4 linked regions of the Diceros bicornis minor genome follow. The protein of the gene in region 1 interacts with the protein of each later gene in a pairwise test. Links are inferred from orthologs where the notes say so. Each region holds a gene or a part of one and is shown on either strand. Other genes may lie near its edges. The genes, in order: TOLLIP, TOM1L2, TOM1L1 and ODAM.

Region 1 (7,099 bases):
AGCTAGTTTCCCACTTTTCCTCATCACGCCCACCTCAAGAGCCCCCTCAGGCGCCCTGCTCAAGGACAAAGGAATCTCCCCAGCCCTGTCAGATTGTCCTTCCTCCTCCAGCTTCCCAGGAGCTCTGCCTGTCACCGCTTTATCACCAGCGGGGGGCAATGGTCAGACTTCAGAGTCGCCTGAGGGAGCAAGCCTAAGTCCAGGCTCCGGGCTCCCTGGCTGAACGCCAACCTGTGCGGGCAGGGACCGGCCCGAAGGACGGCACGGGGCTAACACAGGAGTGCTGCCCGCCAGGACCTAGCACAGTGAGCACTTGCCAAGCGCCACCTTCACCAGCACCAGCTGGGATCGCAGCGTCTTCCTGTTTACAAGCCAAGCGCCCTGCTCATCCCTGAACCTCGCTGGCACCGAGCACACAACGCAGAGTGGGGGCTCAATCAGTATCAAGCCAAAGCACGCTGGAAAAGGAAGAGCTGTCCAGATGCTAATACCTGGGAAGGGTCCTTACAAGTACTGGTTAACGAGAGGGTTGCAGGCTGGGCGGGAGAGGTGGAAAGTAAAGAGGGTGTGCCAGGCAAAAACGTTTGAAAAACAATTTACACTGTAGTGACCTGATAACACTCAAGGGCCAAATCCATTTGCCAGCCGTCTAGAACAGCACCCGGGCCACACTGGCTGCTCCCTCACACACCAGCACAGGCACTGCCACTCAGGACCCTTCCTCGCCTTCCAGAGCCCGCCACACCCCGGCTCGTCAAGCAGGCCTCTCCCTCTCCATCTCCCAGACCGGCCCAGTTCTGCTTTCAGTGCTCCCCTCTCCCACCCACCCCACAACTCCTGCTCCTCCCTCCAAGAACCTTACTCACTCCGACCCCCACCCAGGGGAGGCCACTGCTGACGCCCAACTCGAGTTAAGATCCACAGACCTGGGTGTGCCCATCACCGCATGGCTCATCCGTGTGTTTCAGGTGCTAGGCATTCCCGTGCCACGCTGTAAGAACCCGACGGCAGGCACCACACCCGGTCCTTCACAGGACTGCACTGCCCAATATACTCATCAGGACCACTGGCAGAATGAGCACGTCACAAGTCCTCCAGTGGCACTCAAGACCCCAGCCACTGAGGACACCTTTCTGGAGCCCCCAGCAGCTCTGGCCCAGACCCAGCGTTACTGCCGTGGACAGGTCACGGAGGCGCCCCAGAACCCCCGCTGGTCCACGTGTGCTGCACACCAATGCACATGGACCACACGAGGCGCTGCAACAGAAAACCCGGGAAGCACCAGACACATGGACCGTCAGCACTCTGGCGGCACGGGGCCCCGGTGGGACTCCCTCTGACGCTCCACACTCTCACGGCGGTCACAGAGCAGAGGTCTCCCTCAGGACAGGACAAGCTGACCTTTACTGAGTGCTCCCTTCGTGCAGACACTGAGCCCCGCATGGCGTGTTGATTCAGCCAGTCCCACCCACCAGCGAGGCCCCGGACCAGGAGGCTGAGGACACGTGACAGGCCTGGCCGGGCGGGGCTGCCTGACCACTAGGCCCATGGCTTCCCCGGGGCTGAGGAGGGAGCTGCGTGCTCAGTGCCCTCGCTTCTCTGAGCAGCCTGCAGTGTAGAAGGAAACGCTGCTGGCAGTCCCTGCTCTAGTTCCCCGTGACAGAGTGAGGACGGAGAGACGGGAATCTCTCTAGGACTCTGGACGCTTCCACACCGAGCCCGACAAGAAGTGTGGGTCAGGTCCAATTCAGAGCCCTCAGGACGAGCGTCTGGGCCCAGAGGGGCCCCTCCCAAACCCGGGACTTCCTGCACACTCAGGAGAAACGTCCTGTGGCGCGGATTCCTCCCCAGCCGGAGAGACACAGCAGGATCCTCAACACCCGGCCTCGAGGGAGGGTGAGGAGCGCTGGTGACCCGGACCTCCCGAGTGAGGGCGCTGATACTGTCCATCAGAAGAACCTTTCTCCCTACTCAAAAGGACCAGAATGTTCCTCTGCTGCACGTTTTGAGCCTCTGTTGATAAGAACCTCACTGCTCATGACAACCCGACCCAGCCCAGTGTGAAGGAGCTGCTGGGGGCCACTCCCCCGGAGCCTGCTGAGCGGGTCCACACCCGTCCTCCTGCCACGGCACAGTCAGCACTGAGCCGCATGGAAGCCCCGGGATGAGAGAGCTGGGGGTCAGAGGGCACTCCCGGGTTCTCGGCTCCCATCCTTTCATTTGCAAATGAAAACGCTGAGGGTTTGAGCAGTGGCCACTAACCCGGGACACAGCTGGGCCTCTGAGCCTCATTCTGCCCGGAGGAAGAGAGGGCGTCTGGGGACCCAAGAGACCATCGGGGTTCAGGTCCTCCTCTGTAAGGGCACAGTCTAGGAGCAACGTGCCTCCTCCATCTGCGGGACTGACTCCTGTGGGGGGCCTCCTCCACCTGGGGACTATCCGGGGTGCAGGGGGCCTCCTCCATCCTGGGACCCACCCAGAGTACGCGGATCTTTTCTACAAGGCGACCCACTCGGGGTGCGAGATCCTCTTCTGTTGGCGGACCCACCCTGGTGGGTGGCCTCCTCCATCCGGGGATCGTCCGAGGTGCGAGGACCTTCTCCGACGGGAGACCCACCCTGGTAGGGGGCCTCGTCCATCCGGGTACCCACCCAGGCTGCGAGATCCTCTTCTATCGGGGGACCCACCCTGGTGGAGGGCCTCCTCCATCCGGGGACCGCCCAGGTTGCGGGGACCTTCTCTAACGGGGGGACCCACCCTGGCGGGCGGGCCTCCTCCATCCGGGGTGTGGGGGCTCCTCCAACGGGGACCGACTCGGCCCGGCCGCCTCCCCTCGCTCGCCCCGAGCCCGCAGTCGGCCTCCCGGTGCGCCCCGGAGGCCGCGAGCCCGCCCGCCGCCGCAGGCCGCCTCCCACCCGGAGCTCACCGGGCCGCGCTGCGTGCTGACGGTGGTCGCCATGGCGCTGCGCCGGCCCCGCCGAGAGCTGCCGCGCCCGCGACCCACGGCGCCGAGCCGACGGTTGCGCCCGCGAGGCCGCCGCCGCCGCCGCCACAGTCAGCTGACGTCGGCCCCGCCCCCGCGCCGTCCGCACGCCCTTTCCGGCACGCACGCACGCACGCGCGCTCCCGGCGGGCGCCTGCGCAGTCGCTCGCCCCGAGCCGCGGCCCCGGGAAATGGCTCTTGAGCTGGCGGTCTGCGCATGCCCGCCGGCCGCCCGCGCCCGGGGTCAGGGGCCTGGTCCGAGCCCGTCGTCGGCCGGCGGCTCGCGGAGCCCAGCCCTGGGGACGACGGGTCTGCGGCCCTGAGGGGGCGGGCCCCGGGCGGAGGGCCACCGTCCGGAGGCCCCCGGGAAGGAGGGCGGCGACACCACGAGGGGCGGACTGGCGCCCGCGGGTGGATGTGGCTCCTACCCGGGGCACGTGTCACCCCCAGCCCTGGTTTTCCCTGTACCCTCTCCGGGAGCAGCGTTTACGTTTAAGTTTCAGAAACCAGGAGTCAGGGCGCGTGTGGGCTGCAGTTCTCGGAAGACGCAGGGCCTGCGTGTTCCGGGGACACCGGGCGGGCCAGCTAAGCCGGGCTCCCACCCGCGGCAGAACTGAAGCGTGATCATCGACGGTGCTTCTTAGGGGAATTACCGACATAAGCAGAAATAGGGTGCTATTTCTAGAATATGCTGCTTCTCCATGTATGTGTCAGGGATGAGGCCTAAATTGATAATCCCAGCTTCCTTCCTCCACCGTCGTTTCACGGTCCCCTTATTCTCTGCCCAGCCCTCAGCCCTATCTACCCCCAAGCTGCAGGAGATAAGGAATTCCTTTCAAGTCTCCGTAGAGGCTTCCTTATTTTCAGTCAGAGAAAGAGGGGAGAAAGGCCTCCCTTGTGCTGGGCCTGGAGTTCTGCTGTTGAACATGAGCAGTTTCACAAGATCAGACAAGTGACTGTCAGTAGAAAACCACGACCACTCTGTAATCGTGTGAACACAGACAAAAGACAAACACCGCCCAAGCCCAATGACAAACACCTCCCTATCCTGGCTGATTGGCCAGCTGCTGCTTACCAATTACACCTTACCCTCCCTCCAGTCTTCTCTCCTTCTAGATAAGAGTTATTAAGAAGCCTGATCATAGAATTACCCCTGTGTCCAGGCTCCAACTCGTAATGGCACATGTCGGCCTCGGCATTCGTGGAACATCCTAATGTACCAAGAGCCCCAGACGGGTTTTCTGCACAGCTTTGCGTGGGATTCTTTGAGTAATGAAAATAATAAAATAACATTTCTGAGTGCTTCATCTGTGGTAGGTATTGTTCTAAGTGCATTATACGTATTATCTCATTTATTTATTTATTTATTTATTTATTTATTGTGTGTGAGGATGATCAGCCCTGAGCTAACATCTGTTGCCAATCCTCCTCTTTTTGCCGAGGAAGACTGGCCCTGGGCTAACATCTGTGCCCATCTTCCTCTACTTTATATGGGATACTGCCACGGCATGAGTGACAGGCGGTACGTCGGTGCGCGCCCAGGATCTGAACCTGCAACCCCCGGGCTGCCCAAGCAGAGCGAGAGCACGTAACTGCTAGGCCACGGGGCTGGGCCCTGTGTTATCTCATTTAATTTACACAACAATGCTATGGAGTCCATGCTTTTGTTATCTGCGTTATAGATAAGGATGACAGACAGATGAACACCAGCAAGCAATTAATGTCTACAGTGTATAAACACCTCCCATACGTCACAAGGGAAAAGGAGACCAGAAAAGTGAACTGATGTTGAAAATTGGCAGTTCAGGGGCCAGCCCCGTGGCTTAGCGGTTAAGTGCGAGCGTTCCGCTACTGGCGGCCCAGGTTCGGATCCCAGGCGCTCACTGACGCACCGCTTGTCCGGCCATGCTGAGGCGGCGTCCCACATAAAGCAACTAGACAGATGTGCGACTATGATGTGCAACTATCTACTGGGGCTTTGGGGAGAAAAGGAGAAAAAAAAAAAAAAGGAAAATTGGCAGTTCAAGGAGGGGAAGCCCAGATGCTTGACAAGTATATGAAGGGGTGCTGGAACTCGTGAAGAATAAGAGAAATAAAACAGCAACTAGGTACCACTTTTCATCCATCAGAACAGTAAAAACTAGGAAGGGTGGGACATCAGGTCTAGGTGAGAACTGAAGCGATGGGAAGCTCTTGTGTCGCTGGTAGGCCTGCAGACTGGAGGAGGCTCTCCAAGAAGCAATGCAGCCGTGCTTAGCAAACTACATGTGCTCCATGAGCTCTCTCCTGAGAGATAGGCTGGAAACATCCTCACACTGATCCACAAGGGAACGCAGTCAAGGCTGTGTGTTGCACGGTTGTTTGTGTAGCAGAAGTTGGTAGTCTAATTAGTCATCTTTGCAGGAATGAATAAATAAAGTGCGATGGGTATACACTGTGGAATACTACGCAATGGGGAGAAACAGTAAGTAGATGTTTGCAGAACAACTTGTACACGTTATTCGAATCCACACAAAATATATTAAGCAGCCGTTTTCAAGACACTGGACATCCGGCAATGAAGGTCAGCGGTCCCTGTGAGACAGGAAACAAATGAGGTAAGCCCTAGGGCTTCCTCTGTGTACAGCCAGGAGAGAGTTTCCAGGCCGCTGTGCAGGGAGGGGGAACTGAGGCCAAGACCAGTGGTCTCCCTGAGCCGAGGCTTGGCTGAGACGTCAAGGAGACTTGGAAGGCAGCGTTGGCGGGGCGGAGTACCAGAGGGGAGAGAGTGGCACAGAGAAAGGGCAACGGTGTCCGCAGGGGCTCCCCCTGGAGCCTGCGGCTGAGCACAGATCAGCGAACACCGTAAAGTGATAAAACTGCCCAAGGCTGGGGAAAGAACCCCTTGAAAGAATTACAGAAGTAATACCACTAGCCCACACAGGGCCAGTGGTAGCTCCCGTTCCCACCACTCATAGTAAAAAGGCACATGACCCACGGGACGCTGAGTAGAATACTCGAAGCTTTGCCCAAACGCTGCCAAGATGAAGGGGTCATCTTACAGCGACGCAGGGATAAACCTATCAAATGGACGTAAAGACCCTAAAAGTTTATACGTCTGGAATACTTGGAGCAAAAACTGACAGAACTGCAAGGAGAAACAGACAAGTACACGACTGTAGTTGGAGATTTCAACACCCTTCTCTCAACAGTCGATAGAACAAATAGAAACTGAGCAGGGTATAAAAGACTGAACAACACTATAAACCACTTGACCTGATTGGTATTTATAGAAAACTCCATCCAATAACAGCAGAATACACATTCTTAAGTGTACACTGAACATTTACCAAGAAAGACCATATTCTGGGCCAAAAAACAGTCTAAAATGATTCAAATCGTACAAAGTATGTTCTCTGACCAAAATGGAATTAAATTAGAAATCAGTAATAAAGATCAACAAATCAATAATCAATAATAAAGGTGCCTGGGAAATCTCCAAAATATTTGGAAACTAAATAACACACAACTAAATAACCCATATAACAAAGAAACCAAAAGGAAAATAAGACCATATTTTTGAACTGAAGACACATCGTGTTTTGTGGGGGTGCAGCAAAGCAGTAGGTAGGGGCCCCAGGCCGGTGTTAGACAAGAGGGAAAGCCTCAAGTCACTGACATCAGCCATCATCTTGTAGACTCGAGCAAAAGAAGAGCAAATTAAATTCTAAGTAAGCAGAAAACAAGGAGGAAAGAAAGGTCATTGAGGAAATCAGTGAAATAAAAAACAGAAGAACAGAGAAAATTGTTGAAAACAAAAGCTCATTCTTTTAGAAGATCAATACAATTGATAAACCTCTGGGCAGACTGATCAGGAAAAAAAGAAGACACAAATCACCAATACGAGGAGAGAGAAAGTTGGCATCACTACAGATTCCACAGATATTAAAAGAATAGCAAGGGAGTGTTATGAACAGCTTCACTTAAATGAAATGAAATGCAGTGAAATAGACAAATTCCTTGCAAGGCACGAATTAGCAAAGTTCAATCACGAAGAAATTGATAACCCGAATAGTCCTTTACCTATTAAAGAAGGTAAAAACCTTTCCACAAAGAAAACTCCAGGCTCAAATGGCT
Region 2 (7,661 bases), on another chromosome or scaffold:
TCTTTTTTGAGGAAAATAAGGTTCAGGGAGAGTAAAAGCTGAAGTCAGCTAAAGAATCTCGTCTTTGATGTCACCCAGCCAGAACAGGGCTTCACCCTGGGCCAAAAGCGTACCTGCCACTGTTGCCCACAGCCACCTCTGTTCCCCTCAGACTGGCGCTCACAGACGTGCCCACACCCTTCCTGCCTCCTTTACCTGTCCCCAGGCATAGATGTCTCCTTCTCTCACTGGAGAAGTCACACCCATCCTCATGAACAGCCCTTGGACTCAAGGAAGCCAATCCCACCCCCCCGGCTCTTCTGAATTCCTTTGGACTCCAAACAGCACTGACAGTCCCCACCACTCGACTGAGCACTGAGCTACGGAGTGGCCTTCTGTTAGTCGTCATTGTTCCATACACCTCTCTTCTCTCCCCTGACACCAGAAAGCCCTTGAGGACCGGGACAGTTGTGAAATCCCAGCTCTCCCTCTTACCAGCTGAGCCATCCCTTCACTCCTTGAGCCTCAGATTCCTCATCTCTAAAGTGAGAAGGACAATAAAACCCACTTCACAGAGCAGCTGTAAGGAGCAAACAATGGCTGTAGAACTGCTGTGTGTAAGCTATCACTGCTGCATTTCATCATTAGCTCTGCGGTTGTTTTATTTCTGTATGCCCCTCCCTCCCATCAACCCCCAGCACATACTTTTAAAAGAATACTAACAATACTACATGTCAAGAAAGCCACTTTTACACTTTGTCACAACAGTACAGAATAGACATTAGTACCTCATTCTGTCCTCTAATCATTGATCAGAACTGAACTGACTGTGAAATGACCTAGGCCTTGCCTGCTGACTAAGTGGCAATGAGGAGGCTTCATTCCCTTTGTGGTCCAGTGTCTGTTATAAGGGATGGTGGATGCTGGGGCCTGGAAGGGTATTTTCCTTCACAGGTCACAGACAGGCCAGCTGTCCCTCATATCCTCTCCAGGGAGAAAATCCAGCCCTAACTTCATGATTCTGTGTGAGCAGTGACAGCCCCAGTTCACTGAGCCTCAGCTGTGTTCCAGGCACTGTGGTAAGAGTTGACACGCATCATCTCACTTAAGCCGCACTACTCTGTGAGTACCTATCAACCTCTCTCTCTCAGCAAACTAAGGCTCAGAAGGGTTACACAATCTTCTGGGGTCACACAGCCAACAAATGGACAAGGTAAGATTCAACTCAGGTCTTCCTGACAGAAGCATCATGCTCTTTCCATTCACTACATTCCCCTACATCCCTTATATTTGTATATTTTTAAATCCCCTTTAACTTCTACCCCTCATCAAATACCTTGGCATTTCAAAGGTGTAGAGCTTCCTACTGTAAAAGAGACAGAAAAGAAAAAAAAAATCCCCCAAGCTTACTGGCTCCCTCCAAAAACTGGTTGGAATTCAACACCCAACTGAGAAATTAGTTTTTGGAGTATGGCTGCAGTGAACGAACACCTGAGGAAAGGAAATGAGGAAGAAAGGGGCGTGAAAACCTAGAGGAACACGGGAGGTAGTCCACAGAGATGGGAAAAGACTCTTCCCAAGCCCAGTGTCCACCATCCCTTACCAAAGACGTTTCACCACAGAGAAAAGAAAGGCTCCCAAATGCCAGCTAGCCAACAGAAGAGACCTCAGTAATTTCACAGGCCCCACTCAAGGCTGAAACATAAGCTGGAAATTCATAAGTAAAGCAGAAAATAAACAAGTCACTTCTGCCCAAACCAGCCAGGCCCATAAGGACACCAAAGCTCCCTGCTGATAAAAGACCTTTTACCAGCCCCTCCACAAACCAGGAGGAACTCAGTTTTAAAAGAAACTAATCAACGTTCTTGACTGAGCACTTGGCATAAGCTCCTGCCTTGGGTGAAAAGGCAAGTTGCTTTTTCAGTAAGGAAATCTCATATGGTGGCCACACAGGTGTCCCTTCACTAGCCTTGGGCTTTCCTTACCCAGGATACTGGTCATCTCTGGTGCCCTCTTCCGGGGACCCAGAGCCCCCTATAGGATTAACAGGTACTGCCAAGTACCCCTCTCTCTACACTGCCACCAAAAGATTTCATCTTTGGCAAATTTAATGTAGCAAGAAAGCAACAGTCAATGTGCAGAGGTTGCTACAAGGACTATCAAAACTTGAGCATTTGAAGGGACCTACCACATCTCACCTCCAAACACCTCATTTGACAGACAGGAAAAACGTGAAGCCAGAAAGGGCAAGGTCATAGGGAGGATAACTGGCAAAGGCTCCACTGGAGCCCAGGCTTCCTGATTCCCAGTCCAGGGCTCTTATCATTGAATAGCACGGCCCCCCTTCTTCCCGGAGGCAGTGCAGGCATGCCAGCCCCCCTGCCAAGATCGTCACCCTCTAGGAACCCCTCCCCCTTCCCAGTCCCTCCTACGGCCTAGCCTAGCCGAGTTGCAGCTCTAATTAGCAAGTCTCAGGGCAGGGAGCGTTCTCTGGGAGGGTGCCCAGTCCGCGGGCTGCTGGTCTGAAAAGGAGGAGCAGGGATGCAGGGAGAGGCGTCTGGGAGAACCGGGTCCCGGCGGCAGTGGCAGCGAGACTGTCGGGCTGGACAAGGGCGCACGCAGTGGCATCTCCCAGGAGGCGCGGGGTAGGCCGACAGCGCGGGCACCACCTCCAGGAGCCGGGGGGAGCCGGGCCCCGAGGGGGAGGGCCGCGCGGAGCATCTCCAAGTCCCAGCTGGCCTCGGGGCGCCGCCTGGCAGGGTGGCACCGACGCCGTGAGCAGGCCCGGCCCGCCCGCGGGCAGGGGCCCGGCGACCAGGAGGTGGCCCCGGTGCCCGCAGAGGCCCGTGGTCCTCTCCGGCCCTGTCAGCCGCCGCCGTCGCCCAACCAGACGCCCTCCCTTCGCGCGGCCTTACCGAGGCACTGCCCCACCGGGGTGCTGAACGGGTTGCCCAGGAGGAACTCCATCTTGAGCGGTCAGCACGGCAGCCGTCCAGAGCCCTGTTAGCCGGCTGGTCTCCGCTGTACCCCGCCGCGCTCCCGACCTGACTGACACTTGCCCCCGCCCCACCCTCTAGAGCGCCGAACGCGCGGCCCCTGACCCCGCCCCCTTGTCGCGTCCCTATTGGGCAACGCCTGCCCTGCCCTCCTCCGATTGGGCCCTACGGCTTCCCGAGCGAAGCCCCACCTACCCCGCGCTGTCCGATTGGGCGGAGGAGTGAGCTCAGTCACAGGAACCTCCCTCAGGCGTAGTGACACCGCCCCTGGCCCGCCTCCGAACGAGAGTTTGTGCGCTTTGATTCCTTTATATATTGGTCAAGCTAGGGAATCCTTATGATTATTGGAGAACAGACGAGTCAATCACTCAAATAGGGGGCGGGGAAGAGGCGGGGCTAAGTATATCCCCGCCCGTAGAAAGTGCTGATTGGAGAAACATTTGTTTTCTCTCCGGCTGGTTGGTGGCAGGAGTATTCCCCCGCCCAGAAACGTGGTCACGTGCCCCCTCAACTTTCACTCAGGATGTCAATCTTCTGACTTCCCGTTAGCAACGGAGTGGTGGCGCTTGGTTTCCCTAGCAACCGGGCAAAGTGGCTGCTGCGTGGAACCAGCCCGGTAGCCCGCGCTTGAGAAGGTGAGATCCGAAGCTGAGGTTCCGGGAGGACTCGCAGGGGCAGACAGCGCCCCGACGTAATTCTCTGACCTTTTACTCCGAGAAGTGCGGCCGGCCCTTATCATCTGCAAAATGAGCACACAGATCCCCTGCCAGCCACTTTGCAGCGGCGCTGAGACAGTCAGAACGCTAGTACCCGGGCTTTCAGGCCTGCGGATGAGAAAAAAAGGCTAAGGAAGCATTTCCTTGGGGAGCAGGGCTCGAAGAGATGTTTAAGGGGTTCCATCTCCCAGCCTCCTGGCCTGATCCCTTTCGTAGAAACAAAGGTACCCGAAAGAAAGATCCACTGATAACTTCTTCAAGAATTTAATCCTCATATCCGACCTCTTAACTGTCGTTAAATTATTTCTCTTATTTTTATTCTTCATCTTGGTGCTGTATAAAGTGCTTTGGGTGGGAATATGGATACTCAAGTTCCATGTCTGTCTCTTGTCAGTAGTTCCTTGTATGACTGTGGACAATTTCCTTTCCCTTCCAGGTCTCAGTTTCCCCATCTGGGAAGTTAGGGCATTAGGACTCCCTTCTCTGATGGCGTCCGGAGCTGACAGGTAATTAAATGACACATGTGCACTTAGTACCCAGTAAGCACTCAGTAAATGGTTGATTTTCTTCTTATTAATTCATCGCCAATAGGGGCTATATTTTTCAGATCCAATTAATCCCAGGTTGTTTCCCAGGACAATTCTGGATCTGTTTCTCCTGAGGAGGCTACTCCACTGACAGTGATGTAAAACTCTCCACTGCCTTCCCCGTCTCCAACCTCTGATCTACAGTGACAACACTGTCCTCAGGCAAGTCAACAGGAACCCAGATTGGGTGGTAAATTACTGATAAAATCCTCTTAAGGGAAGAGAATTCGGGCCTTGGCCCTGACCCAGAACAGCTGTGAGAAACATTGTGACAATGTTAGAGCTGTGACAGTGACAGTCCACAGTACCCTGGGTACAGTTGAGTCATGGTTAAGAAATTGGGCTCTGGAGTCATGTTCTCCTGCCTCTGCCGTATACATGTGTAAACTTGTGCATGTTACTTAACCTTTCTAACTAGCTTCCATTTTCTTATCTGAAAACTGCAGATGATCAGTCCCGCATGTAAATTAAGTTCCTAGAGATCTCTCAAATCCACATCTTACCACCAACCACCCTGGGCATCTCTCACGTCACGACTCTTGCCATTCTCAGTACTACAGCCAGAGAGAGCTTCTTAAAATTAAAATCTGATCATGCCACTGCTCTTATTAAGGCCCAGGAGCTTCCCAGGGGTCCCAGGATAATAATTGAACTCCTGTCGACCTTTTCAACCTTGCGTTGCTTCAGCCAAAGTGGAACATGTCTTGTTCTCTCCCACCTCAGGGCCCTCACTATGCGATTCCCTTTCTTCTTTCCACTCCTCCTTCAGATCTCAGCCCCATCTCCTCCGGCCAGGCCAGGTGCCCCTAATGTATGCTGTCAGAGTTCCCTACACCTACAAACTTGTCACTGTTTGTAATTAAACATTTCTTTGATTATCTGATTCATGTCTGAAACAGAGGTAAGGAGATCTGTCTGTTTTATTCATAGTATGTAGTAGCTATTCATTACGTGTGTGGACTAAATAAATGATCTTAAACAAATGTAGGAAGGAGGAATTATTCATCTTTTACAGATGGGAAATCGAGGGCTTAGACAGGTGAAGTGAGTTGCCAAAGGATGCACAGTCAGGATCCAAATCCTGCCCTTGTGTGCATAACAGCTGTTCCATGTTGCATAGCCATTGTCGGGCTTGACTGAAGGCAAGCTTGATCTGTCACAGGTGCCAGGCCTTGACGACGTGGGAGGGATGAGAAGTCAAAGTTTTGAAATCAGAATTTAGAATCATTTCCCAAAGTGCAGCACCTTTCTTTAAAAAAACACAAACACTTTGCAGGTAACATCTGCCAAATGCAGCACAGTAAAATTTCCCCAAAGGCAAGCTATGGGAAATCTTGGAAAAATTTGTTTCAGAAGAGTAGGGAGATGGAGAGAGGCAGAGGACTGGAAACATCTTCAGGAGGTGAATCAATCACCCTAAGGAGATAGAGCCAGTGTTGACAGATTGGAGAGAATGGGAAGATGGAAGGCACAAGTGGAAAAGGGGTGTGGGGGGAGGGAGGAGGGTGTAGGTAGTGGGTAGGAGAGGCTGTGCCTCCTCTGGGGACAGAAAGAAAGGACACATAAGAGTTAAAGGCACTAGGACATTTGATTGTGGACAGTCCAGAAATGAAAGATGCATATGTGCATAAGCTGCATCCAAGTGGATGGTGGGGGAGGAGGGAGGGAGGGCAGCCAGGCAGTGGCAGTCTCTAAGACCAGGTGGCAGGATTGCCAGGCCCACCTGGGTTTGCGGTGGACACCATCAGTCCACCGCCAGGAGTCTCTCCAACAGCGCTCAGTAGAATAAAGAGCAGAACACAGGGGCTGCCCAGCATCAGGGACCAGAAGGCAGGAGGTTCAGGGAGGCCAGGATATTGGGGATGCACCTGGACAAAGGTAGAAGGTGAAGCCGGCAGGGAAGTGAGAAGCAGAGGTGGAAAGCAGAAGGGAGGACCTAGTTTCCACAGGGTGTAGGAGGCAGAATCTGGAAGTTTCCAGTAGACTGATAGGAGAGGGTGCCTTCCTGCAGCATCCAGCGCTTCTGGATGTTCTCATTAAGAGGGTTAGTGATGAGAATGATGTCAGGCACCCCAGCTTCCCAGGGCTGTGGCTTTGTCCAGCCAGGAATAGCAGCCCAGTGTCAGCCTCACAGTGTGAGTGAACAAGTCCACAGATTTCCCCTTTGCCTGTGGTATTTCAGCCAAATCCCCTTGGACCGTTAGCGACAGAAACCTACTGGAGTTAGTTTAAGTAAAAGAAGATTTAATGCGAGAAGTCAGGACACTCTCACAGGAGAGGAAGAAGCCCTCACAGGTCCTGGAATTAGGGACATTAGGGGCCAGAAAGCTAGCAAGGAGAAGGCAGTCTCTATGTCAGTCTGTCTGTCTTTTTGTCTTTTTTTTTACTGGATCCCATCTCTGCTTCTCTCTGTCTGCCTCATCCCTCTCTTGCTCTCTCTGCTTAACCACGTGCCTGGCCAGTCCACGGTCCCCCAGTTCCTCCCCAGCTCAAGCAGCCAGCTCTGATGGGCACTCATCCTCTGGCCCCAAGCTCAAATTTCTCAGTGGGAGGACATGAATGGCCGGCTTGGGTCAGTATCCACCTATGCACTGGGCAGCTTCTGGTATGTGTGTGTGGGGAGTACACATATGACTGCCTGGAAGGGATGAGGCTCTCAAAGAAGGGGCATTGCAGGCTGGTATGCCTGGCTGGGGCTGCCAAGGGTCATGATCAGTGGTTGGTGCCAAGAAACCCAAACAAGGATGGGCACAGAAAGCCAAAGGCCTGAGATGGCCCCGGCTGTAAGGGAGCAGAGCTCCAGAGGCTCAAGAAACCGGTGTGGACACCGGTCCACTTCTCTGGGGTAGAGGCACAGCTGTGGTTGTGGGGCCAAGGGGTGCACCCCTGAGGATGGGCACCAGGCAGGATGGGTACAGATGTTTGCCGGGGAAGCCCTGGAGCAGCCTTCGTGCAGATGTATGAACCCCTAGGTCCAGTGGGAGGAGGGTGGATTTCAGAGTGTCTTTGGCCACCACGATGCTCCACAACCTTACAAGGACCTCAGCCAGAACTGGTCCTCCAACAAAGGGAGAAGCGGAGTGTGGGAGAGGAACGTGGTGTTTTTCAGGGAAGATGAACCGGCTGTGCGACTCGATGGAGCCGAGAGTGATGGATGACGACATGCTTAAGCTGGCTGTGGGGGAGCAGGGCCCACAGGACGAGGCTGGGCAGCTGGCCAAGCAGGAAGGTATCCTCTTCAAGGATGTCCTGTCCCTGCAGCTGGACTTCCAGAGTGCGTATCCCAGGGTGGGGTGGGTGCACCAAGCAGGGCCCCGGCTTTCTCTGCTCTACCTTCTACAGAGCCCCAGAATTCCACACAATGTCCATATAAAAAGATAAAA
Region 3 (7,249 bases), on another chromosome or scaffold:
TATAGCCAATAATTAAGCTTTTCATCAACATAAACTAGACTAAATCTGTTTTGCTGTCACTTATCACTTTTTCTTTTCATTTATGTCTTAATAGTTTATAACATTGTGAGATTTTGGTTGTACATTTTTGTTTGTCGATCACCATATACATGTCTTCCTTTACCCCTTGTGACTACCCCCCACCCTCATATCACTTATCACTTTAATATGCACAGGAAAATTAACAGAATTGTATCCCTTATAACAACCTGTAATTCAGACTAAATTCACAAAATAGTTGGCCTTCTTAATGAGTTTTAAAACTTTAATTCTCTAAAATTTAAAAAGTATAATAAAAGATAGCATGTCATTTAAGAATACAGCATGAACATGGGTGAGTTGGCACTTGGAAGAAAAAAATTGTCTTGTGACAGGGAGAGAGAAAAAAGACTGGTAGATTATTTCCTGGTTAGTAATGACCATTGCCCAGAGACAGGTCACCCCCAGGAGTCCACTAGCTCCTTGACAATATTTCTCAGTTACAGTAACATAAAATACTGGCAATCAGAGCAGGGGGAATTTCTAAAGAACAATCTGTCTCTCTTTAAAGAACAAGGAATTTGAGGCTCACAAAGACAAAACTTGAAACTATTCAGGAAAAGGCAAAGAGGAGAAAAATTATAATGGATTCTCAGATATTCCACAGGCTGAAACAAACAGCTGTCCTAATATTTCAAGCTGACATGTCTTCAAAAGGCAGCGGGTGCCTAAGGGGTGAAGAAAACACTTTCAACAAGAAAACCAAAGAGTTTGCAAGAGAAAATGCGCTGTAGTTCTGATGCTACTTATCAGAGGCAAAGGCACGAACCACACACTGTACTCACCCATCGTGGGCAGTGTTAATTATATCACAGATGTGCATGAACTGACCCCAATCTTCAGTCTGAACTCCAGCAAATGTAGCCTTTTCTGCAAAGAATAAGCTGTTATGTTGAGTCTGAGCTACAACAAAATACGAAATGTCTGGTCTTCTTGGAATAATCTGCCTGCAGTTCACTAGCAAGTACCATTGAGTTTATGTTACCAAAGGGCAAAGAGCTTTTTTTCTCAGCAATTCCCAAGAATTCAGGAATCAATCAGAAGTCAAGTTCAGGGTGCCGCTGTTGCAACAGTAATGGGTGACCTATTAACAAACACTGCAGGCACAACACCTGGCTGCAGGGCCAGCGAGGCCGGCTAAACCTCCTGGAACCCCATTATTAAAGAATCAGATGTTTTTCCCTCTCCAGATATCCTCCTTAAGAATACAAAATGCTGTTTGGGAAGGGTAAAAGAACACTCAAACTAAACGAGTTTAACATCTTTCCTACATGAAAAAAGGGGTCCTGGGGGAATGAAGAGAAAATGAAAAAGGATAATGAAGGGGGATCAAGAATAAAAGTTCGGTTGGGGGAATCCCAAAGCTTAGCCTGCTTCCCATCCAGAAAAGGAGCTATTTGAATTTGGCATCCAATGGACAAAGCTAACCAACCTTGTGCTGTGTAGGCACATACTGCTGTTCCTTCTGCCTGATTCCTTGGTCTTCCTCCCACCTTTCCATCGTCCTAGAAAACTCCTATTCACCCTTCAAAAGCCATGACAGAGTTAATTTCTCCATTTTCATAAATTTTGGGTGTTCTACATTTTTCTTGTATTGCAAAGATACCATATTATCACTACAAAACTGTGTCCATCTTCCTTACAAGACTGTGTTCCCTGAGGGTTGAGACCAGGTCTTACCTTTGCCTGCGCCAGGTCCCAGGTATACAGCTGGCAGTGAGTAAATGTTTACAGCATTAAAGAACTAATCAGCCTACGATGATGCAGTCTGAATCCATTTCTGCTCAGGGTTTATTTTAATATTCAATAGGGATATATCCAGCAACATTAGAAAGCATTCTCTCTTCAAAGATAGTGACTCTCACCATTTTATAAAGATGTGGGAAGGTTCAGGATAAGTGGCAAGTTCCATGTCACACAGCAGTTAATCGAGGTGCGACCAAAACTCCAAATCTGAGCCTCCTCACTGGAACTACCAGGTTCTCACATTTCCTCACCCCCACTAAGTTCCAGACATTATCATGCTTTGCTTAGCATTGATAGGCGCGCGTGCCACACCCGGGTCCCCAAGGCAGGCATCAGGGAGAAGAGGGAGGCGGGAGTTGGTGCTGGGAAAACTGCCCAGTCACTGGCTTCTGCTTCCGCGTACATTACTCAGATTAACTCAGGTTGTAAGGGCCCGGCGCCAGAGAGAACTGGTTTGGAGAGACCTGCCTGTCACAGTGAGGTCACATCACTTCTTCACCTCCTTGAGCTTTCCTTCCCCCCTCTGCAAAGCGGACAGAACAATACCGTGCCCTCGAGTGAACGCACTTGATGAACACCATTCCCCTGGCCGAGTCTACGCTCTTTCCTTGGAGAGGCCCAAACACTCCGCACCTGAATCCCGTGCGTGGGTCACCTGTTCGGGCCACTCCCCAGGAGACATCAAAAGGGCGATTTTGAGGACGGGTTCTAGAAAGAGTGGACTATAAAGAAATGCCTCAGAGGCCGGGTGGAATGCGAGTGCCCTGGGAAAGTTGCAGGGGGAGGGGAGGGATTGTCCTCAAACTTGGACCAACTCCGCCCTCCGCAGGGCGAGAACGGAGTCCAGCGGGAAGGGTCCCCCAGTCCCCAAAGTCTATCCAGGCGTCTCCCCTCGTGCCTCCTTACCTATGAGGTGGCCCACGGAGGTCGCATAGGGATCCCGGTGACTCTTGCCAAACGCCATGGTAGCCCCAGAGAGCCGGGCCCAAGAAATCCGACTCCACCGCTCTCCGGCTCCCGACTCCACCCGCTCGGGGCCCCTGGCTCCTCCTCTTCGCCCGAGCGCGTCCCGGGCTCGGGCCGAGGCTGCGCATCCCGCCTGGCCGCTGCGGGGCGCCGGGCACCGGGCGGGGGACGGGGCCGCGGGGCGGGGCTCCGGGGCGCCGCGCACCTGCCTCGCGCCCCGCGGGACTGGCGGGGAGGCGGCGCTCCCTACTCCGGGTGGGGCGCGCGGGCGGGCCACGGGGTGTCGCTCCGGACCCAGATGGGCTTCTCGCCCCCGCGGAGCCGGGCGGCCCCGGCGCCACAGCCCGGGAATGAGAGACCCGGGCTCTGACCCCGCCGCTTACGGGCCAATTGCTGCTCTTCTCTGCGCCCCTTGCTCTCCTTCGTAGAGAAGGAAATATGGGATTAATAATACAAATCTCAGGATTGTTGTGAGAATTAAGGGCGTAAAACGCTGAGGTCAGTGTCTGACACGCACAAAATAAATATTTAACCACTGAATGGAATAACTAGAAATATTTACACCCCCACCCTCGCCCCAGAGATCCAGGAGGGGAGGTGTGTCCCTTGCCCTTTAAAGCTGCAGGTGGTGGATAGGAAGAGGGATTGGCTTCGAAATTAGGGACTTCCCAGGAGCCGGCGTCGTTTGTCTCGCCTCTGTTTCCTGAGGGACCACAGGGCGCCGCGCAAGCTGTCGGTTCCTAACCCTCCCTCCTGGGAGCTGTGTTCTCCAGCGATGCTGAGGAGAGAGGCTTTCCTTCTGCTCAGGCAGGAGTGTGTTTGGCCTCAGCACTGCTTTGGAATGTAAATCCGAGCTTCAGCAGTCCAGCCCCTTTCCAGCTGCCCTTTCAGAAGAGGAATTTATTTCCTTTTCCTGTGCGTTCATTTAACGTCTGATTAGCGATGTTAATCTCCAGCGACGCCGGAGCCTGCTAGAGAGACGGGTGTCTCCAGGTGATGGCAATTCGCCATAAAATGGCCTCCCTGTGCCTCCAGATCTTGCATTCTGTGGTCAGCTTGGGCCCAGTTCCACACGCCCTTCCTTGGCCCTGGAAGTGATGAGGAGAGAGATCAAAGGGGCTTTGTCTGATTTATGTCCTTAGTCTTACATATTTTAAAATAGAAGTAAAAACCAATTGCAATGCATGCCAAGGGACTAACTTTTTTTTTCCCCCTCTAATTCGGTTACAGATTTCCCCCGCTATCTGAAAGTATAGCATTCCCATGGAAGCTTTGGTAAACTGAAAAGACATAAAAGGAAGGAGCAATTAGCATTCATTTATATGGGAAAATTTTTTGAACCTTCCCAGACCAAAAAAATAACCTACCAAGATAAATAGAGATAAAGCACAGATGCTCACACAGTTCAAAGCTGTGGCGGCTTGAGGCTGCGAGGCTGAGTGCAGTTCCAGGGGAGGGAGCTTGGCGGCGCCACTCTGGCTACTAAGAGTGCGACCCGCCTCTATAATTAACTGGCTGCAAATAAAACCCTGGACGCTATTTTCTCTTTTCACCTTTTTTCCTTAAAGTGAAAATGCTCTTCAGATTTCTTTCAGTTAGCGAAAACAGGTACTCATGTTAGGTCTTTCGAAAAATCGAAGTGGCGTAAAGCGAACTTTCACATACCAGGGGAAACGTATATTTCAAATTTTTCTTGACCTAAGTGAGCTGGGATCTAAAATCTAGAATGAAACATTTTTGTTGTCATGGTATTTCTCATAATGGGATTGGTCCTGCCTGTAACTCATATTCTCCACCTACTTATTCAGGTTGAGTAGCTATTTCAGATTTTATCAACTTCCTTAGTCATCAGTCCAGCCTCTGCTGACACTGTTGAAAACCTCTTTTGTGACATCACCAACCTAATCTCTGTTCCATGTTATAGACTGTAGCAAAATATTTCACCTTCTCTGGACCCTACGATTAAGCAACCTTAAAGAGAAAGTAAAAAAAAAAAAAATAGAGTCAATTTTAGCCTAGGTTACTGTTATTGTCAGTGGCCTTCCATCAGGAAACGAGAACTAGGAAGGAACCAACCATTTGGACAGATTTCTAACACAACTCTGCTACTTCTTATTTGAAAGGTGGTTTGGTTTTTTATTTTCTTGTGTTACAGGATTGAGGCACTGAGAACGTGCAAAATGGCACCGGGGAGCGTGTTCAGGACATTGAGGCCGGGTAAACAGAACCAGGTTGATGAGTACTACCTGTGTTCTGTCTCAGCCATGCCTGGGGAGAAGCTTTTCTCTCCACATGCCCACGAGGGTGTTGTGGTGGTTGCAGCCTTCTCCTTCTGTGCTCTGCCTCTTTCTCCATGATCCCTCTCCTCCTCAGAAGTGAAAATCAACTCAGTCGATGTTAATATGGTCTGGGAGCAGGATAGAATTCACAGCCAAGGTAAGGTCCGAGAAGGAGCAGAGTCTCAAATAGAAACAAGGTTCTAATTTCTGGATACCAGGAGCAAAATCTCACAATTTCAATTCCCAAAACACTTCCTAAGCATTTATTTATAAGTAAGTCATAATGCTAGGTGGAAGCAAAGAAAATAACCTTTATTTAAAACGCACTAGAGCCAGTCGTGATGGCCTAGCAGTTAAGGTTTGGCGCACTCCACTTTGGCGGCCCAGGTTCGGTTCCCAGGCGCGGAACCATACCACTTATTTGTTAGTAGCCATGCTGTGGCCATGGCTCACATAGAAGAACTAGAAGGACTTGCAACTAGAATATACAACTATGTACTGAGGAGAAGGAAAAAAAAAAAGAAAGAAAGAAGATTGCCAACAGATGTTAGCTCAGAGGGAAACTTCCCAAGGAAAAAAAAAATGCACTAAGAGCCCAGAACAGGAAATCTGTCAACGTAGTCTTCGCAATCCTGGAGGCAGGTAGCATTCACCTCAATTTTACAAATATGTAATTTGAGATTAAGAAAAATAAAGCTAATACATAGCTTGGCTAGAATTGAATCATGGCTGCCTGATTCCAAAGCCTGTATTATTGCTACTAGGTGAATCTGCTCATTGAGCATGACATCTCATTTTGTTTAAGGATCTGTTTGATTCAAAGAGAGACCTCTCAAAGAAGATAAGAGTAGGGGCAGTCATATATTTTGCTAGCACATGATCCTGCTGTTCTTTCTGTACTTATTCAAGAATGCTAGTATTGGCCCGGTCCGGTGGGCAAGCGGTTGGGTGTGCACGCTCTGCTTCTGCAGCACGGGGTTCATGGGTTCAGATCCCAGGCACACCGACGCACCGGTTGTCATGCCACAATGTGGCGGCGTCCCATATAAAGTAGAGGAAGATGAGTGTGGATGTTAGCTCAGGGCCAATCTTCCTCAGCAAAAAAGAGGAGGATCGGCATGGGATGTTAGCTCAGGGTTGATCTTCCTCACAAAAAAAAAAGAATGCTAATATTTTCTGTACTAGAACTATATGCTGGGTGTGCTCTAAATACATTACATGCATTATGTCACTTAATCCCATAATAACTCTATGAAACCAGTACCATTATTACTCTATTTTACAGATTAGAAAAACCAAAGTAAATAATTTTTCACACAGTCACCTTGCTAGTGAAGAACTGTCTGATTCCAGAAGCTGTGACTTTAACCTGTGTACTATGCCACCTCTCATGGGTAGAGCCCTAGGGAGTAGGTGGTACTCTTGACCAGTTCACACTTTAAAAAAAAAGTGGGTTCTAGAGGATGGTGCCTGAAGAATGAGGTGACTGAACATGGCAAGTACACATGTCTAGAATACAAAGTTGACCCAGCACCAGGATTTATGTGCCTAAGAGTCATTTTCATCCTCTCATTTGATTCTGTTCTTACCACTAAATTTTTTAGATTGTCAGATCTGGACATGAGCTTAGAATTCACATAACCTCTATCCCCAGCGTTCTGTAGATGAAAAAATTGACAGCCAGAGAAGGGAAGTGACTGGCCCAAGGCCATCCAGCTCCAGGCTAGGAGAACACAACACAATAGCTTAACCTAAGTCCCAACTCTTCCTGCTATAGGCACCTCCTCTCTATTTGAATATTTAAATATGCTTCTGCCACCCTCCCCATAGTATTTTCTCCAGCCCTCTCTTTATCTTTCTTTTTTTCCATGGTTCCAGTTCCAAACACCACCCATTCTCTCTCCCCTAGCTGTCCCACTAGGAAACTAACTTCTATAGCAATACGATCATCAAATCTAACAGCCATTTCTCAGCCTCATCCTCTTTGCCCTGTCTAGCATAGGATGTCCCCCCTCGCCCCCCCAGTTAACCGTCCTTCTTTCCCCCCTCCCCTTTCAGGGCACTTCTCTATTCTACGTTCCTTTTTCTGACTGTACTTTCTCATGATCTTTACCTGGCTCCATTTCCCTCCCTAGCCTGCTAAACCCAAATCTCCCCACAGTTCTGCAGTGTGCCTGTTC
Region 4 (7,739 bases), on another chromosome or scaffold:
TCCACTTTACTAAAGTAAATATGTCAATGTTTTTCCCCACAGAAATCTCCCATAATGAAATTCCTAGTTTTGATTTGTATTTTGAGTGTGCTTATGCAAAGAACAGTAAGTCAAAGAAGAATCTGAGAAAGATCTTTACAATTGCCTTTTAAAAAATTTCTAAGTAGAAAACATTTCTATGGTTAGACTGTATATTAATTTATAAATTCAGTAAGTTAAAAATAGGAACACATTGCTTTGACCTGAATATTTAAATAATTTTCTAAAATCTATTTACCCACAACTTACATTTTACAAATGTAAGCAACTTGCCATATTGACTTGAGATCTTTGCAGTAAAAGAGATAAAATGTTATCAGTCCTGCTGAAGCTTCCCCTAGGGATCTGATTCTCCTCTGCCCCATCCTAGATGTAGAACATTCTGAAGTTTGTGTGTATGCTTCCCTGGCTTGTTCATGTAATTGTAGTGTGCACATACATGGCTCTTAAAATATGTAAAAAAGTTTTGTGAATTTTTAAAAATTTACATAAACGACACGTAATATGTTGTATATCATTCTGCAACTGGCTTTTTTCAATGTTTATATCGTTGAGATTCAACCACATTGATGAATGGACCAATACTTTCACTTTAATTAATCTTTGTCATGCTAGACCAACATTATAATGTATTATATCTGAGTAAAATGTAAACTATATTTTCTATATGATCCTGTTGAGTTGATGATTCTTATTCAAGGCCTTTGCAGGTGGCCTAAAAGCATTTTTTTAATTATGTATGCTATCAGCTAAAAGTTTGAGTACTCAATAAAATACAGTAGTGTATGTACATCTATGTGCGTGTGTATATATATGTGTGTATGGTAAAAATCTTAACCCAAAATGGAAATTAAAAATTATAAGAGAAAATACTATTTTCTATCAGTTTCAAAATGGATAATCTTTTTTTAATGACTACACAATTAGAAAAATTATGAAATTCAGAGATGAGTATTATACCAAGAAGAATTTACTCTGTAATCATTTTAAATATAAAGTAACTGTATTCGAATAGCAAATATTCTAAAAAGAAAAACATTATTAAAATAACTAAATGAAGTAAACCATTTTTTTTCTTTGTTTTTAGTGGGGAAATATTCAAAGCAACTATGATTCATTCAATGAAGAGGTAGTACTTTAATATTCTTACATTTAAATATAACTCCATGTTTTATGTTTTCTAATGCCACATTTGCAGCAACCCATTTCTTAACTCTCAAAAAACCATTTTACAAAAATTGGTGTAATTACAGTCACTGTCAAGAAAATTTAGTTAATATAATACTGATGTTATCTTCATAAACTTTTAAATTTTTAATATAAATTCAGAAAATAGAGTCCTTCACTTTTGATAGAGTTCTAAGAGCATAATGTATAAATTCCTCAGATTTACGTGTTATAATTTGAATCAGAGGATATAAACTGGTAACATGAATGCTAAATCCTATGTATTTTGATGATTTTCCTTGAGTGAAATATTAATCAATCTATTTTTACAACTGGGTAATGGACCAATGGTACATCTTGCTTGAAAATACATTAATTATATTTTAAAGTGCTGAACTTCTCCACACCAGCTGTGGTGATCAGTGGTAGGGCGTCTTCTGTCATGTCATCTTTACTCAAATCTGGACAAGGAAATATACTCTTCTATAAAATGATTATTTAGCCTAAAATGAAACTATGAAGTTATTGTGAAAATATAATAAGAGATATAAAAGAGAATAGACAGAATTTCCAAAGCAAGTGTATGAACACTCTGCATTTCAGTTACAGGGATTATTAGTGAACGTCCTTGTTTAAAAAAGAAATTTCTATTCCAAGGATATTTTGTAATCATACCATTATGATATAATATGACTACCTGGTGCCAGGGAACATTCTGGAGAGGCATCAGAGGAGTTTGAAGATTCTCTGGGGGTGGGGATTTCTCTCTTCATAGGGATTCCTCCTTCATTCACAGTCTTCATCGTCTGCCAACTTCTGGGAAAGCATAAGGTGGGAGTTTTTATTCTGCCTAACCACTGCTCCATAGAATATGTAGAGGCATCTGAATATGGCAGGCAAACTTATATCAAGAATGTTAGCATGTCTTCATGTCATAAAGAACTGGTAGAAACACCTCTAGTAAGCATTGAAAGAATATATTCAAAACTCTGTCCCAGAACTGAAATAAGCAAGTCTTGAGTCAGAATTCTGTTCTCATCACCAACACAGACATTTTCTTTTTCATTTGTCAATTTTATCCTTAGAATTTAAGTGACTTTGACTTTAATTACAATCATTTTGAACACCAACCTTCAGAAGAAAATTTGCCTGATCTTCTGATAGATGATGGATCTCCATTTTTTACATCCCTTTAAAGAACACAAGGTAACTTTAAATTTGTGTGTGAATATAATAGATCTCCTCTGAAATGATTTTCTGATAAATAAAATATTTAAACCCAGACAAAATACTTGTGACAGGTAACAGAATTTGTTGGATACAAAATATAGAAGCTAGGATGCTAGAGTCTGACCAAGTCGGTCCATATCCCAGGATCAACACTTAGTAAGAGCATAGCCCAAGCAAATTGTTGACTTTCTGCGTGCCTTGGTTTCCTCACCTGTAAAATTAAAATGATACTAGCATTGACCAGCAGAGTTATGAGTGTCATACGAGATAAAGTAATACATAGTAAGCAAGTAGTAAATATAAACATTATTGTTCCAAGATTTAAAAGAAAACCAGTGAGCATTTTCTCTTGCAACGAATCACTTTGCTACATAAATAAAACCATAAGAAATATCAGTAAGTCTGGAAGAATATTGATTCTGTCCTAGTTCTTTAGTCCATAAATAAAGATCAAATTCCAGATTCAGCACACTTCCAGATACATCTTAAGACCAAATTGCCATTCTCCCATTCAGCAAATATAAATTCCCAAAAGCAAGCATTAATTTCCTACTATTTCCCAGGCATTCTCTTTGGAACTATCACTTGAGATAGAATTTCATCAGTGATCATTAGTATTGGCTGTCTCATTTTATTGATGAGAAAACTAAGGCCCAGATTATTGGATTATTTCTTCCACACATCACACCACATTCTGATGCAGGTGTGATATATGACTTTCCTGCACTACCTCTAGAACACATGGCCTCCACAGTCCCAATGTCAGGGGAAGACAGAGTGAGGGGGCACACCAATTCTTAATCGCCATAACCAGGAATAGCACACATAACTTCTCACAGTCCTTTGGTCTGAACTAGACATGTGGCTCCATCCTACCTGTAAGGAAGTCTGGGAAGTAAAGGGGAGAAATAAAGCATTTATCCTCTCTGCAACAATAACATTGTGTCTAATAGTAATGTAGTAGGGTGAGTATGTGTGTGAGAGGAAGAGAATTCAGAGGACAATCAAATAAAATCAATACAAATTTTAGTTTAAGTTTTGACCTACTAACACCAAATATTTTTTTATTTTTAGATATGGATCTCTGAAACATCTCCCTGCTAGAACACTGATTTGTGCATCTCTTCTAATAAATCCAAATCTTACTCTATATTCTTTACTCAAGAATTTGGTTCTATTTCGTTGGTGTCTGTGGATTATATCACGTACACTAACGGAAATGGATAACAACCGTAATAACTTTGGAATTTGAATTTCTTCACCTTTAGTAATAAATCTCTATTGCAAGCATGTAACTTATTGCTATACTTTATTTCCCAAGAATTTACCTATAGCAGTCAAGACCATTACTTTTTGTGTGGCGTGCCTAACTTTTATGTCTTTTTTTTTTTTTTTTTACCATATGTGTATCACACATGGTATCACAACATTTACCATTCATTTAAATATAGCTAATTCCTTCTGCAAAATAAAAGATTCAAAAATAGCAAATCATATACTAAGTAACATGTCTTAAGGAATAAGACCTTACTTTGCTACTCCTGGAGCATTGCTTCAAAGATATTCATTCAACAAATAGTTTTTCAATCTCCTTTGTGCCAGGAACTGTTCTAGATGCTGGGAACATAGGTGTGAACAAAAATAGCAAGGAGCTTACTCTCATTGAAATTACATTACAGTGAAGCTAAGCAGAAAATAAACAAATGAAAATTCAAAATGAAGATAAAACTGGTGCCAGAAAACTAAGACATGGTGCTGTGATAGTTTTGGGGAATTTCAAAATCATTTGACACAAACTAAATTTAAGCTTCCATTAATAATATACCTTAGTGTAGGAACACACTTTCTGGCTCTTCTCAATGAATCAGAGAGAAGGCTTTAATTGAATACCTCTTCAGATTCTTGTTCTCATATATGAGGGATATAAATAAAAAATTATTAAAGTTATGTGAGTCATTCAGTATGCAAAATGCAGTAAATCTCAATGATTTTTATACACTAGTCAGGAAGTTATCTTCACTTCATTCTATATTTATTCATTCATTCAATGAATATTTTTGAGTTTCTATTAAAAGTCATGCATATGATAGAGATGCTGAAGATAATTATCTATGACGATAAGACAACGTTCTTCTCCTCATGCACCTTATATTCTACAGGTGCACCCAGGCAATTGACAAGTAGTTTGCAATAAAATATAGATAGTAAAAAAAAAAAAAATCTTATGAAGAAAAAATACAGGAAGAAATACTAGTCCCTGCTTTATAGCACTTCTGCTTAAAATAATCCTTTAATTTCTTACCAGAGTGGACACAACTTATGCGGTATCATTGTCATAGGCCCTGGATCCAGGTAAGGCAGAATCACTTACAGAAAGATCTTTGGAAAGGCCTACTCTGTTTGACTCTGCTAACAGTCTTGTGTGCATACATGCATGCACACACACACAACTAACTACATTTACTTCAAGCATTTTGCCCTTATGGTTGATTGTACCTCAACTTTCTACAACAAAGGAGAGTGGAAATAACAACTTTCCCAAAATGAAAACAATAATTAAGGCCTGAAATGATTGTGAAAGATGATGGTTTCTTGTGAAAATCTGACCATTGCTAATTTTTAAATTGCAGTAAAATTATCCATTCATCCATTGATCAGCACTTAGATTGTTTCCATATCTTGACTACTGTGAATAATGCTGCAATGAACATAGGAGCGCAGATATCTCTTCAAGATACTAATTTTGTTTCCTTTGAATATATACCCATAAGTGGGATTGCTGGACCATATAGCAGTTCTACTTTTAATTTTTTGAGAAACCTTCACACTATTTTCCATAATGGCTGCACCAATTTACATTCCCACCAACAATGCACACATGTTCCCTTTTCTCTATATCCTTGCCTACACTTGTTACGTTTTGACTTTTTGATAATAGCCAACCTAATAGGTAGGAAGTGATATCTCATTGTGGTTTTGATTTGCATTTCCCTGATGATTAGCAGTGTCGAGCATCTTTACATATACCCATTGGCCATTTAACCTTAATAAAGGAGGAAATCCTGCCACTTGTGACAACATAAATGAATGTGGAGGACATTATGCTACATGAAATAAGCCAGATACAGAAAGACAAACACTTCATGATCTCACTTATATGTGGAATCTAAAAAGGTCAAACCCATAGTAACAGAGAGTAGAATAGTTGTTACCAGCGGCTGGGGGATAGGGGTAACGGAGAGAGGTTGGTCAAAGCGTACAAACCTTCGGTTATAAGAGGATAAATTCTGGAGATCTAATACACATCATAGTGATTATAGTTAATACTAATGTTTTGTATACTTGAAATTTGCTAAAAGAGTAGATCTCAAGTATTCTTACCACACACATAAAAAATTGTAACTGTGTAAGCTGATGGATATGTTAACTAGCTTAGTTGTGGTAATCATTTCACGGTGTACATGTATATCAAATCATCCCATTGTACACTTTAAATATATATATTTTTTGTTTGTCAATCTTACCTCAATAAAGCTGGGGGGAAAAGTGCAATAAAATTAGATGAAAGTCTTTCTACAAATAAATGAGTGGTGCCTGACAGCAAAGCACAGAGGAGAAACTGTGATTAGTAGGTTAAAATCGTGGCTAAAATCATCAAATAATTATGAAAAGGAGTTGATTCGCTCTGACAAATGCAATGGTAAAGCAGGACAATGCACATGAAGAAGGGATTCAAGTATGGTGTCTGCAAATCCTTTCATCTCCCTCCAATCATGTTATTAAATGTTCATAGGTACAAAGAAATTTTTACATTAAAAAATATGAAAAATACTTCATATTGTCTAATTTCAATCCCTGCAGCTTCATTGTAAGCTCTATTTCTATCACAAATTCCTCCTGAAGAAAGAAAACAAAGCCTCCAATGGTAGCTCTAGAAAAATCTTCAAAAGCAACTTTCACACTTTAAGTTCTAGAAGGAGGGTAACATGGGGAAGAGATACAAGCCACCTCTTTAACTTTGTGCAATGTGATTTCAAATACTTACAGTACTCAGTAGTCCTATTCTATGTGGACCAAAAGCTCTCAATCCTTTCCCTTATATGCAGAAATCAATTTCCCAGACAATTATTATTATCTCAATTGTTTCCCTGATATTCTCGGTAAAACCTCCAAACACCTCAAATTACAAATCTAAACACAGTAATATAAAAACTTGGCATTTATTTGCCTATTTAGAATAAAATTTTGCTTATCTGAGGAGATTTGTTCTTTAACTTCAACAATCTGAAGGATCAAGAAAATCACAATACAGAAAAGACAATTTTCAATGATACCATCTCCAGGAATAATTATAAAATGGTCAAAAGTCTTTAGTGCCCCCACCCTCATAAACCTCTTCCCTTCTACCCCAGTATAAGCTCACCCTCTTCCAATTCTATTCCCACCAAAGATACCTTAACAATATGAGTGACCTCTTCCAATCATTTCTCCTTTCTGGGGGTGGCCTGCACTTCCATTTCTAAACTTCAATGTTCTAAATTCTTAGCAATTACTCATTTAGGTAAATGTTTAAGCATTCCTTTTCAAAAAAAGACAGCATTCAAACAGAGCTCAAAACTGTAACATTAAAAGTCTGCATCTGAACAGAGTTTGAAAATCCTAATGAAAATGAAATCACGCTCTTTGAGGGAAAATTCTCACATCAGTGAGCATGAGATAAGCAGAACTCGTGGATTGAAAAAAAAAAAAATCTGCCCCTTGAAATTGCCAAGCCACATAAACAACTGACAAAAATACTATTCAGTTACGGCTTTGGGTATGTACACGGGTGACTGGCCTCTGGTCTGTCCTTTTAAGCTTTAGTGAACCAAACATCAGCATTGGCCATGAGACACTGAATAAGCCACTGGGTTTATCTGGGATGAATTCAGTTCTCTTGACTTTTCCTCATGTCTTTGTTTCCTTTGGCTTTTCTCTGGTTGGTAAACAACATGTCTCTATTCTTGTCTGTGAATACCTTTATTGATTCTGTTGTCACATTTATTTTCTATGTACTAAACTTTAATCCCTGGTGTATGTCTTGGGTCAGTTTGTCCTTTGTTGCCATAAATGACCTTAATCTATGCCCTGCTTAATGGAATTCTTACGGAAGCTGGATACACCTCCTAATGTTGTCACAGGGATTGAGGGATTATTTTGTAAGCTTCTGAGTTGGCATCGAATTTCCTCTAGCATTTAACATTCTAAAAGTTTGTCACATTAAAAAAAAAATGATGTCTAGATTTTAACTCATTCTCACTGCG

What was found.
Region 2: the proteins of TOLLIP (region 1) and TOM1L2 interact in binary tests that used the Homo sapiens proteins (3 or more experiments, as listed by UniProt). The link is inferred for Diceros bicornis minor from reciprocal best matches to the Homo sapiens genes TOLLIP and TOM1L2.
Region 3: the proteins of TOLLIP (region 1) and TOM1L1 interact in binary tests that used the Homo sapiens proteins (3 or more experiments, as listed by UniProt). The link is inferred for Diceros bicornis minor from reciprocal best matches to the Homo sapiens genes TOLLIP and TOM1L1.
Region 4: the proteins of TOLLIP (region 1) and ODAM interact in a two-hybrid assay, tested with the Homo sapiens proteins (2 studies listed by BioGRID and IntAct). The two-hybrid records come from large-scale screens. The link is inferred for Diceros bicornis minor from reciprocal best matches to the Homo sapiens genes TOLLIP and ODAM.

The regions. Positions count from the first base shown.
Region 1 is NC_080770.1:702,307-709,405, reverse strand, and holds the start of TOLLIP (toll-interacting protein), read right to left. Parts: upstream 3,009-7,099; 5' UTR 2,960-3,008; coding exon 2,927-2,959; intron 1-2,926. UniProt on the Homo sapiens protein: Component of the signaling pathway of IL-1 and Toll-like receptors. Inhibits cell activation by microbial products. Recruits IRAK1 to the IL-1 receptor complex. Inhibits IRAK1 phosphorylation and kinase activity.
Region 2 is NC_080757.1:1,377,855-1,385,515, forward strand, and holds the start of TOM1L2 (TOM1-like protein 2), read right to left. Parts: upstream 3,011-7,661; 5' UTR 2,947-3,010; coding exon 2,895-2,946; intron 1-2,894. Other genes in the region: DRC3 (dynein regulatory complex subunit 3), read left to right, coding at 7,393-7,552. UniProt on the Homo sapiens protein: Acts as a MYO6/Myosin VI adapter protein that targets myosin VI to endocytic structures. May also play a role in recruiting clathrin to endosomes. May regulate growth factor-induced mitogenic signaling.
Region 3 is NC_080757.1:32,347,897-32,355,145, forward strand, and holds the start of TOM1L1 (TOM1-like protein 1), read right to left. Parts: upstream 3,010-7,249; 5' UTR 2,919-3,009; coding exon 2,731-2,918; intron 1,604-2,730; coding exon 1,533-1,603; intron 949-1,532; coding exon 864-948; intron 1-863. UniProt on the Homo sapiens protein: Probable adapter protein involved in signaling pathways. Interacts with the SH2 and SH3 domains of various signaling proteins when it is phosphorylated. May promote FYN activation, possibly by disrupting intramolecular SH3-dependent interactions.
Region 4 is NC_080747.1:56,692,461-56,700,199, forward strand, and holds the start of ODAM (odontogenic ameloblast-associated protein), read left to right. Parts: upstream 1-4,739; 5' UTR 4,740-4,788; intron 4,789-7,739. UniProt on the Homo sapiens protein: Tooth-associated epithelia protein that probably plays a role in odontogenesis, the complex process that results in the initiation and generation of the tooth. May be incorporated in the enamel matrix at the end of mineralization process.